Linked DNA regions of Coturnix japonica. The protein of the gene in region 1 purifies or fractionates together with the protein of each later gene. This does not show direct contact. Links are inferred from orthologs where the notes say so. Each region holds a gene or a part of one and is shown on either strand. Other genes may lie near its edges.

Region 1 (6,193 bases):
TGATACCTGATCCGAGACATAAATCCCTTTGTTTCGAAAATGGTGGTTCACATATTGAGCCCCAAGTATATATTAAGAGGGCAGATATAATTAATTTTAAACACTGTAATAAACTGCATCGTTGCCTGGGAAATCAAATCGTACAAATGATGGCAAGGCTGAGTCATTCCCTTTGATAATAAAATGATGACATGTTATAACATAATGCAGATCAAAAACCGCACGGCGCTGTCCAGGCTACCACAGGAGAAAGTTCATGAAAGCTGAGGGTGAACTTCAAGAGGCTGTTGGTTCTCTTGCCCTGTATTAGGAGTGCCATAAATCAATTGCCGTTGGTTGGATTAGAGGTGAACTGCAAGATTTATTTATTTATTTATTTTATGATGAATACAAGAAATACTTCTTCTTTTCCTTTCCTACAAATTCTTTTAATAAGTATTCCACTGAAGTCACCTATCTACAGTGTTTGGAAACGCTGTCACATGGGGTCAGTCTGAGAGCTGGAACAGCTCAGCCCTGAGAACGACAACCCGCAGACCTCAACACTGCGTGTAAGTATCTGCTGAGAGGAGTGAAGGCACAGCCAGACTTCCCAGCGGTGACTGCTGATAGGAGGGGGTGCAGCAGAACTGAACACAGACTGAGATAACAGAATGATAAATATATATACATATATTTATACAGGGAGGGTGGTTGATCAGCAGCATAGGCTGTCCACAGGTTTTGGAGCCTGTGCTTGCAGGCCTTCTAAACTGAACTGGATATATCACTTGGACTTGATGATCTTCAAGGTCTTTTCCAACGTGGGTAATTCTATGATTCTATGAAATAATTTAAATGTAAATTCTCTGAAGACAAATGAACATCCTGCCGTTGTTACAATAACTCACTTCTTTAAGCTATCACATCAGGAACACAGATCTCTCACACCTTCACAGTCTAAGACAAAACATCAGACTTAAATTTAACCTAATACAAGACTTTATTCTTGGAAAAGCCAAGCTCAGAAATGAAAAGCACATGTGCTTGATCTTTCCAACACGTAATATTAAGGGAAGTGAAATTCCAATTTATTTGAATCCACCAGTAGCTGCACCAGCTGATTATTTCACTTATTCACATTAGGCAGCTGCCTATGTCTTCCTCACAGGCACACAGAATGACCCGGGTTGGAAGGGACCTCAAGGATCATGTAGTTCCAACCCCCCTGCCTGGCAGGGCCACCAAACATACACCTTTACTAGATTCAGGTTGCCCAGGGCCCCGTCCAACCTGGTCTTGAACATCTCCAAGGACGGGGCATCCACAACCTCCCTGGGCAGCCTTTTCCAGGGCCTAACCACTCTCCTAGTGAAGAACTTCCCCCTAACATCCAACCTAAATCTTCCCTCTTTTAACTTAAAACCATTTCCCCGTGTCCTGCTATTATCAGCCCTTTCGAAGAGTTTACTCCCCTCCTGGGTGTAGGTTCCCTTCAGGTATTGAAAGGCTGCAATGAGCTGTCACCCCGCAACCTTCTCTTCTCCAGGCTGAACAAACCCAACTCCCTCAGCCTGTCCTCATAGGGGAGGTGCTCCAGCCCCCTGATCATCTTTGTGGCCCTCCTCTGGACCCTTTCCAAAATCTCCATGTCTTTTTTGTACCTGGACAACCGAACAGCCCCCACAGAGCGCGGCGTTGCTCCGGGCCGGCAGCACGACGCCGCTCCGGCCCCATCTCCCTCAGCGGGCACCGACCGGCCGCAGCCACAGCCTCCTCACAGCCCCGTCACAGCCCCCTCACAGCGCGCTTCATCCCACTTCAACCCCCTCACACCCTCACAGCGCTCCCGCGCTCTCAGTCGCCAGCCGCGCCCAGCACGCATGCGCGCACCGCCGCCTTCGCTCCACTATCGCGAGAACCGTGAGCGCGCCGCGAGACATCCGGGTAGTGCACTGCGGGACAACATGGCGGTGGAGTCGCGCGTCACGCAGGAGGAGATCAAGAAAGAGCCGGAGAAACCGATCGACCGCGAGAAGGTGCTGGGCCGGGCCGGGCTGCACGCGGGGCTCGTCCCGCCGCAGCTGTTGTTGGGGCCGCCGGGAGGGGTGGGGGGGCGTGTCTCATAGTCTCATAGTCTGGTGCGGGTTGGAAGGGACCTTAGAGATCATCGAGTCCAACCCCTGGGATTCGAGTCTCTGTGCTGCAGAGCGGCACTTCTACCACTTGTGCCACAGGGGGGATTCGAACCCATGGCCTCCGGTGTTGCACGGCGGCGTTCCTACCACTGCGCCACCGGGGTCGGGGTTGTCTGTGCGGTTGTTGCCGCTAGGCCTCGTTGCGGGCTGTCCGTGCGCTGCCTCACGCCGCTTCGTGCCGTCCCCAGACGTGTCCGCTGCTGCTCCGCGTCTTCACCACCAACAACGGGCGGCACCACCGCATGGACGAGTTCTCCCGCGGCAACGTGCCCTCCAGCGAGCTGCAGATCTACACATGGTGAGCGGGCGGGTGGCTCCTGCGGGGCTGCTGTCAGTGTGAATGCAGTAATCCCTCTCATTGCATTTTAAAGGGCACTTTTGAAGGTGGATTGTGTGACTTTATATACACTGTCTTCAGAGTTTCTGCTGGAGCTGTAACACGTGCATTGCTCTATGGCTGAATAAACCCACTGTTGTCGCTGACAGAGCAGGCAGTTCTCACGTAGTTCTGCAGGGGGTTTATGAACTCAGTGCAGGCTGTTCATGATGTCTGAGCCATCCATAGAGCACTCAGAGCAGCCATTGTCAGCCAGCGGTGGCACAGAGCTCACACTGGGTGCAGTGTGTTCACAGTTCACAGAATTATCAAGGTTGGAAAAGACCTACAAGATCATCCAGTCCCAATCGTCACCAATACTTCCCAGCTAAATCATATTCATCAACACAACATCCAAACGTTTCTTGAACACTCCCATGGTCGGTGACTCCACCGCCTCCCTGGGCAGTGCATTCCAATGCCTGACTACCCTTTCCGAGAAGTAATACTTCCTAATGTCCAGCCTGAATCTCCCCTGGCGCAGCTTAAAAACATTCCCTCTAGTTCTATCACTGATTACACAAGAGAAGAAGTGCGGTTCCCTGAGCTGCTTGGGTGGCTGCGGTCCTTGTGTCTGTAGAGCTCTGAAGTTGGTTTTGGCTTTGTTTGGTTGAAGGGTGGGGAGAAGGAGGAGTGCTGTCTGTCAGAGCAGAAGTGGAAGTACTGATGGGACATAGAATCATAGAATTACCCAGGTTGGAAAAGACCTTGAAGATCATCAAGTCCAACCGCAGCCTAACCAGTACCCTAACTCTAAAAACCCTCCACTAAATCATATCCCTGAGCACCACATCCAACTGGCTCTTAAACACAACCAGGGATGGCGATTCAACCACCCTGGGCAGCCTATTCCAGTGCCTAACTACCCTTTCTGGGAAGAAGTTCTTCCTAATATCCAACCTAAACTTGCCCTGGCACAACTTGAGGCCATTTCCCCTTGTCCTGGGGACATTGCTCGTGATTGATTGTTTTGCTTTTGTTCCTACACTTTATCTAAGAAACCATTTTAACATTAATACCGACTTAAATAAGGAAACATTTTGTGTAAATGCATTAATGCATTATAAAAAGGTCACTCTTTTTTGAGAGGCCTGGAAGAGCAATGCTGATCAGTATTGGTTGTTTGGAATGCCACATAGTTGTGAAATAAGCAGCTCCCTGTATAGCTGAAGTATGTGAAGTGTTGCTCTTCTTTGTGTATTAACAGGAAGCACGCAAAGGCAAGGAAATGTTTGTTTAAGCTGTTGCAAAACACCAATTCCATCTTAAATGAGCATGGAAAGCTTTTTGTATTGCTGCTTTGAGAAGTGAACCACTTGGGTTTGTTTGTTTAATGTAGGATGGACGCGACTCTGAAGGAGCTGACCAGTCTGGTGAAGGAGGTGTACCCAGAAGCACGGAAGAAGGGCACACACTTCAATTTTGCAATCGTTTTTACAGATCTCAAGCGACCGGGCTACAGGTAAAGGGCGTTTCATCTCCAGACCAACAGGAAGCTCGAGGAAGCACAGCAGTAAAATACTTTTTATCAATGCTGATTTTAAAGCCAAATGTTCACAGATAATATTTCATGATAACAGACTGCAGGATTGCCATTATGAACTTCGTGTTTTGATTGGTAACTGCTGTAGTTTGTGTTCCCTAAACAATGAAGGTGTTTGTTTAAGCACTTGGATCGCTGGATTGGCCACCAGCTAAAGGTGGCCCTACGGTGTGAGGTGGAGCTTCATTCCTGGTGGTGTGAGGCTGCCTTGCAGCCTGTGGGGCTCCAGCTCTGTGTGAGCAGGCAGAGGGTTCTGTCTCGTGCTAAGATGGCTGAAGAGTCCCCACCCCTATGCCCTGTTAGAAGGACTCTATGTAGCTTTACTTGGTGCAGCAGAACACCCTGTGGATGGAGCGTGGCATGGCGAGGTTGGAAAGACTGGTGCTGCTCCTGGGTTGGACATGCAAAGCCTGGGCTCTGGTAACTGACTGCTTTTCATCTCTGTGCACAGGGTGAAGGAGATCGGCAGCACCATGTCGGGCAGGAAGGGCACAGACGATTCGATGACGTTGCAGTCCCAGAAATTCCAGATAGGAGACTACCTGGATATCGCCATTACACCACCCAACCGCGCCCCGCCGCCTTCCAGCCGCATGAGGCCATACTGAGCCACGGCTGCTTTGTACCGTGATCTTTTCTGCTTATTCCTCCTTGCTGTTCTAAAGCAGGTTTTTTTTTTTTATTGTCTTTGTTGCAAAGTAAGGACACCTGAAGACAAAGCTAAACGTCAAGGGTGTAAGTCACATTTTAAGCCTTTCAGTTTGTTTGTTTAGAAGGAACGCTTAATCTTTAGCAGTGCCATCACTCTTTTCCTTGGCTGGTCCATAGTTTGCTAAGTAGGTCATTGTGTCTTGTGTGTCAGGTAGAATGCAACCAGGAGGATGACAGGTGTTCTGTACTTCTGTCTTGTGTGGAATAAAGATGGCTGTTATTAATCTTTTGAGTCCAATTGTGCTACGGTCAGAAGCTGCTGGTAATGCTGTGCGGTGAGCAACTCCTGCACCGCCCCGCAGCTGCTGTGCTGCGCTGTCCCTGCAGGGGGAGAGCTCGTTCCGCTCACCGCCTCTGCTCTGCGGCGGTACCTTGTGGGTGAAGCACCGGAGTGTTGGGGGCAGATCTCTGGTCTGGGCGGCGTTTGGCACGGCCGGGAGCAACGCTGAAGTTTTCATTCATGTGGAAATCCACTTTGCAGTCGAGTCCAACAGCAGCCGGTTTTTAGTTGGACAGCAGGAAACAACTGTCCACATGTTGAAGGAGGTGTGAGTGAAAGCTGCGATGGGCTGACTGCGATGGCAAGGAGCATTATCAGCAGTGAGCTTCAAAACTGTCTCGAGTGCTGAGGAAGGAAATCAGTCACCCAAAGGGACGAGTGATGTACAACACAGCACTTGGGAGAACCTAATGCACAGTCTCAAAACCCAACAGCAGTGAGCAAACCCATATGCTCGAGAAGCAAACACAGCACACAGCTGTGTCAATTAGCAGGGCTAATTACAGGCTCTCATTTCAGCAGCGTAACTCCAGGAACTCCACCCTGCGTGGGGATGCAGCAGGATGGAATGGATATAGCTACAAGACCTAGGAAAGCGGGCCCTTATTTTCTCCTTTCTGCACTCAGTAACTCAACAGCAACTCACGGAGCAGTGGCCACAGGAGAGCTCACAATGCAGCTGTGCAGCCAGCTCAGTACTGTGAGCAAGGGCAGGATTTCACAAGGCACTCAGACTGGTGACAGGAGCTGCCCGTGTTCCCCTCCCACACATCCCTTTCCTTTCTGTGGCCTCATGTCAGGCAGTGCCTTTACAGGTGAGCGGTGGTTTGGGTGAACGCGGGGTGTATGAATAACATCACTTTGCAAAACACCTCTGGGGGCACAGGGCAGGCAGGAGTGCGATCCCAGGCAGCCCCAGCAGCAAAGTGTCACACCAGGGTGTGGGGGCAGCTTGGCAAGAAGGGGCAAGAAGGGCCCGTGCAGCAAAGCCTATGTTGGTTTCCAGCAACTGTATAATGAATCATTACAGAGCACAACTGCTGGGCTTTAAGCACAAAGTGTGCCAAAAGCCACTGACACCTTCCTGTCAGGCATTCTATGATACA
Region 2 (6,211 bases), on another chromosome or scaffold:
CTCGCAGACAATCAGGGCTTTAGGGGCTGTTATTTTGCAGCACAGTGTGATTAGTCAGGATTAATCCCTGCCCAATTCTGCAGCGCTTTAGGAGCAGGTTCTCCCACCCCAGCCCTGGGAAAGCCACCACTCTGCAACGCTTCTGTTTCGTCATCAGTAGAAGTGAATGATGAGCTCAGTGCAGAGCCCTGCAGGGTCTTCACTGTCTTCACTTCCATTCTGAGAACAAAAACCCGTCATTTTACAACAGCTGGTTGACGTTTTTGGTGTTGTTTGGCTTTGTTTTGCTATTGGCCATTTCTTACCTCGTAGTTTATTTCCCACATAATTAATGTTTAATGATTCTCCACATACACATCTTTTCTTTTTTCCCAGAAAGCCAAAAGCAGCTCTGGAAATGCAACCCAACATTCTGCAGCTTATCCACATGCTTTAAGTGCTCCACTGATAACACAGAGCTCAACAAGGGAATGAGAAAGAAAACATCCAATAATTCTATAAAGAGACACTTCATTAAAGCAATTAAGGCAATCATTTAAAGTAGTTATAAGGACTATTAACACACAAAAGAAATTGTGCAGCAGGGTTTTAGCAAACCAGGCAGATTCACCATTATCTTATGACGCCTTTAAGAATAACATCCAGCATTTATTAAACCCCATTCCCAGGCTTAGGCTGCAGCTTTCTCCAGACATGGGGAGAGTTTGTTTGGGGTCTTTGCAACCAGTTCACACTGGAAAGCATTAAAGCTCCATAAAGATGCAGGAAATCCCCCAGAACCATGAGCTGTATGTGGGTAAAGCACCGCTTCTGCTGGTGGGCTTTGCTCATCACATCCTCCTGTGGTTGACAGCAGTCTTTAAAGCACCAGCAATGCAGCACAGGCATCACTAATGTCAGAAACCATTAGAGCAGAGGACGTTACTGCACTTTAACCCACAGGGACAAAAATAAAAGGCATTGATAATAACCAAGCACACTATAACTTTGTCATGAAAATGTTTTCACTATGGGATGTTTTCTAACTGTAAGTCACTGTCTGTGGGAGGAATACACGCTTTGAATTAACAAATGAAAACAAAGTGAGCACAACAGCCACTGCTAAATGCTCGGACACATTCCTCAAACTCCCCTCATCAACTCAGGAGCATAATGGCTTTTCTCCATGCTCAGCTGCTGTTTCCCCATCCCTGTGGTGCTGAGATTCAGCCCTCCAGCACCAGGCAGGCTCAGCGGTGCTGGATGCAGGCAGGCAACCACTGTGTGCCCCAGTGCCACTTCCAGCCCTCAATGCATTGCCACATCTGCAAAGCAAAGCACAACGTCCAGGCAGCCAAGTGTGAGCCAACAGAGCAGGGACTGCTCTGCCCTCATGGGTCAGGCAAAGACTTTATGCTGTATTAAAGAAAGAAAAGTGGATGTTGGAGTTTCTGTGTCACCACAGAGCAGCTACAGGCCAAAAGAATTCTTGTTGTTAAACCAAAGCCTGGCTCATCTAATTGCACCCTCATTACTTAAAAGCAATTTATACGTTCAAAATTACATCTGCTGCCTGAAGAAATGTCAGAGACGTGTGAGTAACAAGGGTAACATCCCGGTGTGTTACTGTGCCTTCACATCAATTACAACCTCATCAAGAAAACAAACTCAGCACGGCGTTATTCTCGTGCCCCCATAGTTCGGCTGTGCTCATAGGAAGGTTCTGCCCATAGTTAGGCTGTGCCCTTAGGCCGGCTCTGCTCACACCCGTACACAGCGCCCGCCATCGCCCCCAGTTCCGCTCGTTTCCCACCCGCCCGGTGTTTGCACTGCTGTTCCATTCATGACTCAGTCCCCATCACACCCTGCCGTGTTCCTGCCCTTTATTCGTATCCCGTTGCCGTCCCGCTGCCCGCCCCGCCGCGTTCCCCTGAGGCGGGCGGTGACGCGGTGCCCGCTCCGTGCCCTCGGGGCGGCCATTTTGCCTCCGCACCGAGCCCGTCCCAACCGTCCCACACAGTGTCCGCTGAGCGGCTGACGGACCCACACGGCCCGCTCCCCGTGCACCCCGTGCAGCCGCAGGGCGGATCCGCCCGCAGCGCTTCGTGCGGACACGGATCGGTTCGGACCGGCCGGGAATGGACGCTCAGTACCGAGCCCGCCCGCCCAGCGCTGCGCACGGCCCGACCCGCCCGCGGTGCATTGTGGGCCGGGCCACGCCCCGCGCCTTGGCGCCAAGAGCCCCGAGCGGCGCGGTGCATTGTGGGACACCCCCAGCGCCGGCCGGGACTTCTTGGCGCGAGCGCCGCACCGGAAGTGACGTCACACGGCCCGGCGCCCTGAGACGGCAGCGGAAAGAAGCGCGGCGGTCCCGGTGCGGACAGCGGGGATCGGAGGCGGATATTCACGTTCATCCCGACCTCGCTGGCAGGAGCGGAGCCTCTTGTGCGGCCACAGCCGCTTTGGCGGAGCAGCGGAGGCGAAAGGCAAAAGAGAGGAACTACTTTTCCGCGCTGCCGCGCATGCGCGAGGGCGAGAGCGCGGCGGGATACTCGGAACGCATTGCGGTCTCGCGGCCCGGCGGTGCTGCGGCGCGGGGTGAGAGAGATCAGTGCGCGAGATCAGTGCGCGCTGCGAGCGCGAGGGGAGCCGCGGTCGCCATTTTGAAGCGGCGGTTGCTGGAGTCGCCGTGTCCGCTCCCGTCCGCACGGCCCGGCCCCGCGCCCGCCCGCCCGCCCGCGCTCCGCGCCCCGGCCCCTGAACGCCGCAGCCATTGCCGACCTCGGCATGTCCGGAGGGGGCGTGATCCGCGGCCCGGCCGGCAATAACGACTGCCGCATCTACGTGGGCAACCTGCCCCCCGACATCCGCACCAAGGACATCGAGGACGTGTTCTACAAATACGGCGCCATCCGCGACATCGACCTGAAGAACCGCCGCGGGGGGCCGCCCTTCGCCTTCGTGGAGTTCGAGGACCCGAGGTGAGCGCCGCGGGGCCCTGGGGCACGGGCGGGAACGGCTCCGCCGGGCGCCGATACCCCCCCCCTCCATTCCCTCCCTTCCTCCACGCGCGGCGCCGCTCCCGCTGCGCGCTATTCCACACACACACACACACACACACACACACACACACGCTCGGCTCGTTGCGCTCCGGGCCCGGCGCGGTGCCGCCGCTGGGGGTGGCGGTGATGGCGGTGATGGTGGTTGTGGTGCTGATGGTGGTGGTGGGGGCGGGGTGGGGCCGCGGGTATTGGGAACAAAGGCGCTGCGGGGGGCGGCGCGTGGCAGGGCGCGGCCGCGCTCACCGCCCGTCCCGACCCGCAGGGACGCCGAGGACGCCGTGTACGGGCGGGACGGTTACGATTACGATGGGTATCGCCTCCGCGTGGAGTTCCCTCGCAGCGGCCGGGGGACCGGCAGAGGAGGCGGCGGCGGCGGAGGGGGCGGAGCCCCGCGGGGCAGATACGGCCCCCCGTCCCGGCGATCGGAGTACAGAGTGATCGTCTCGGGTGAGTCGCTGCTCTCTTCCCCCGGGTCCTTCGTGCTGCCGTGCGCGGGGGGCGACGCGGCTCCGCTTTTCCCTGCGAAGCCTCGGGATGGGGGAGGGGTGCTGGATGCTGTGGGCTGTGTGCAGGGTGTTCTGCTCGTGTGCTGCGGGATGATGCTGGAATTGCAACACCGGAGGCCTTGGGTTCGAATCCCCTGTGGCGCAAGTGGCAGAAGTGCCGCTCTGCTACACAGAAGGCTCAAATCGCGGGGGGTTGGACTCGATGATGTCTAAGGTCCCTTCCAACCCGCACGAGACTGTGATACTATGATATGATCGCACCATTGGGTTTTAAAGCCAGGTGTTGCTTTTTATCCAGGACTGCCTCCAAGTGGAAGTTGGCAGGATTTAAAGGATCACATGCGTGAAGCAGGTGATGTATGTTATGCTGATGTTTTCCGAGATGGAACTGGTGTCGTGGAGTTTGTACGGAAGGAAGATATGACCTACGCTGTGCGAAAACTGGATAACACTAAGTTTAGATCTCATGAGGTAGGTTTCACGCTTACTTGTTTTTGGCCAGAATTGGATACAAAGGGCTTAACAGTAGGATGTGAAGGTAAGGAATGTGTGGTGATCATTGCGTTAATACACGAAGCAGCTAAACTGAGTCTGCTGTCAGTTTGTCACGAAATAGACTTTATTAAGAGTTTGATGTCTATTTCTGTGCCTTAGTAAAGATATCTGCAGTCTGTCAGCATGCCTAAAACGATGGCCCCGAAGCCTAGACCTTTCAATCGAAAGTTGTGTCTATTCAATAGGGAGAAACTGCCTACATCCGTGTTAAAGTTGATGGTCCAAGAAGTCCAAGCTATGGAAGATCTCGGTCACGCAGCCGTAGTCGTAGCAGAAGCCGTAGTCGAAGCAACAGCAGAAGCCGCAGTTATTCCCCAAGAAGAAGCAGAGGATCTCCACGCTACTCTCCCCGCCACAGCAGATCCCGATCTCGTACATAAGCGATCACTAGCTCTGATCTTTTTGTAGAACCCCATGTTGTACACAGTTTTCCTTTACTCAGTACAGTCTTTCAATATTATTTTTTTTTAAATTCAAGCTGTTTTATTCAGATTGGCTGAAGTGTTGAATTGCATTCTTGTGTAAAATCCCTAGTGAGTATTTGCTCCGTAACAACAACATTCCCCCTCATGTCTTTGGTAAACTGTATTTTAATTGATGTCAGTCAGGATTGTTTCAATTTAGTTCTAGTTAAATACCAACACTCTTCAAACTGTGGTATTGCTGTGTAAATGTCTCAGTGTTCAGCTATGGTTCATGCGAGCTGGGGATGTTGGGATGTTTGTGGCTAACTTGTCTCTTCTGGGGGATCTTATATTTTATCTTGCCTTTTCGTGTGTCTTTCTGTAGACATATCTGAAGAGATGGATTAAGAATGCTTTGGATTAAAGGATTGTGGAGCACATGTCAATCATTTTAGGATTGTCAAAAGGAGGATTGAGGAGGATCAGATCAATAATGGAGGCAATGGTATGACTCCAAGTGCTATTGTCACAGATGAACTTGGCAGTATTGACCTTATACTGAGACAGGTGAATTGAGAACGTGCGCCTGCGTGTCACTTCTTCAGGCACCTCTTGGTCACTGCGGGCTGCAATTGCTCTGTTCTTTAAAACCCTCTTGGCAATTGTGGCTCAGTACTTGCCGGTGTAATTCCTTATTCCATTCTAGTCTTTTTTTAAAGGAGTAAACCGGGACAGGGGTGGGAGCATTGGTTTGTCCCGCGGCATTTGGTTCCAAGCGTTAACGGCCCGCAGTACTTCCACGCTTGCGGATCAAGGGTATCTTTAAATGGGAGTATAATATCAATACTGCTAAAATCTGCATGTCCTCTGTGTGACTGATACAGCGTTGCTATTTCATTTCTTTTAAGTATCAGAATGAAAGGGAAAAAAGCCAAAAACCCAAATCCTAAGAGAACCTGGTTGGGAATCGTTTGTCAGCCCTTCCCCAGCCTAATTCAGAGCTGACTCACCGTATTGAGAGCTGCAGTTAGTTCCTCTGTTACCTTCCAGCCGGGGGTGCTGGCCGTAGCTGAGAGGCGCAGTAGGTGACAGCTTTAGCAGTAAAACTTTTCCAATTTCATAAACATTTTTTGCAACCACAGAAGCTGTAGAGCACCACCGTACGAGCAATGAGTATGTTGGCATTTTTAGTTGACATATGTAAATATTGCAGTGTTTCCTCCAAATAATTAACGTTTCTTAAAGAGAACAAAAGATATAGCATCACCATTCAGAAGCTTGTTTTGGGGAATTGATAGTTATTACTGTACATCTGTATTAATTGATGGCAAACATAACTGATCATTCCCCAGAATCCTATTTTTTCATTGCGGTATCTAACTTTTTGCCTCCTCTTTTTTGGTTTTGCTGGTTATAAAGGTTTGGATTGGAGAGGGCTCACTGGATCCCAATCCTTGGAGCTGGATCATTGGATTCAAATCATAATGTGGATAGGATAGGGAGGCTGAATGGCAAGGATTCATGGAGCGGGATCAGATTACCAGGAACGTAGGAGTGGATTCCTGCCCCAACCAAACCGCATTCGTGTGGATTTTTTTATTCAACTCAATTGGCTATTCCAAAGCTTTTTCTTTTCCCATTTGTGACGATTGGAGCCCTTATGATGCACGATGGAGTTTGTCATTTTTTGGTAAAAGGAGCAAAG

The links. Proteins that work in one complex are often made in the same cells at the same time.
Region 2: the proteins of SAP18 (region 1) and SRSF1 purify together in Homo sapiens (co-immunoprecipitation; 4 studies listed by BioGRID and IntAct, with this or other methods). This does not show direct contact. The link is inferred for Coturnix japonica from reciprocal best matches to the Homo sapiens genes SAP18 and SRSF1.

Annotation. Positions count from the first base shown.
Region 1 is NC_029516.1:159,781,652-159,787,844, reverse strand, and holds SAP18 (histone deacetylase complex subunit SAP18), read left to right. Parts: upstream 1-1,594; 5' UTR 1,595-1,628; coding exon 1,629-2,018; intron 2,019-2,365; coding exon 2,366-2,475; intron 2,476-3,892; coding exon 3,893-4,015; intron 4,016-4,547; coding exon 4,548-4,704; 3' UTR 4,705-5,031; downstream 5,032-6,193. UniProt on the Homo sapiens protein: Component of the SIN3-repressing complex. Enhances the ability of SIN3-HDAC1-mediated transcriptional repression. When tethered to the promoter, it can direct the formation of a repressive complex to core histone proteins.
Region 2 is NC_029534.1:7,445,612-7,451,822, forward strand, and holds the start of SRSF1 (serine/arginine-rich splicing factor 1), read left to right. Parts: upstream 1-2,610; 5' UTR 2,611-2,766; coding exon 2,767-2,960; intron 2,961-3,303; coding exon 3,304-3,488; intron 3,489-3,845; coding exon 3,846-4,018; exon of another isoform or gene 4,019-4,287; coding exon 4,288-4,482; 3' UTR 4,483-6,211. UniProt on the Homo sapiens protein: Plays a role in preventing exon skipping, ensuring the accuracy of splicing and regulating alternative splicing.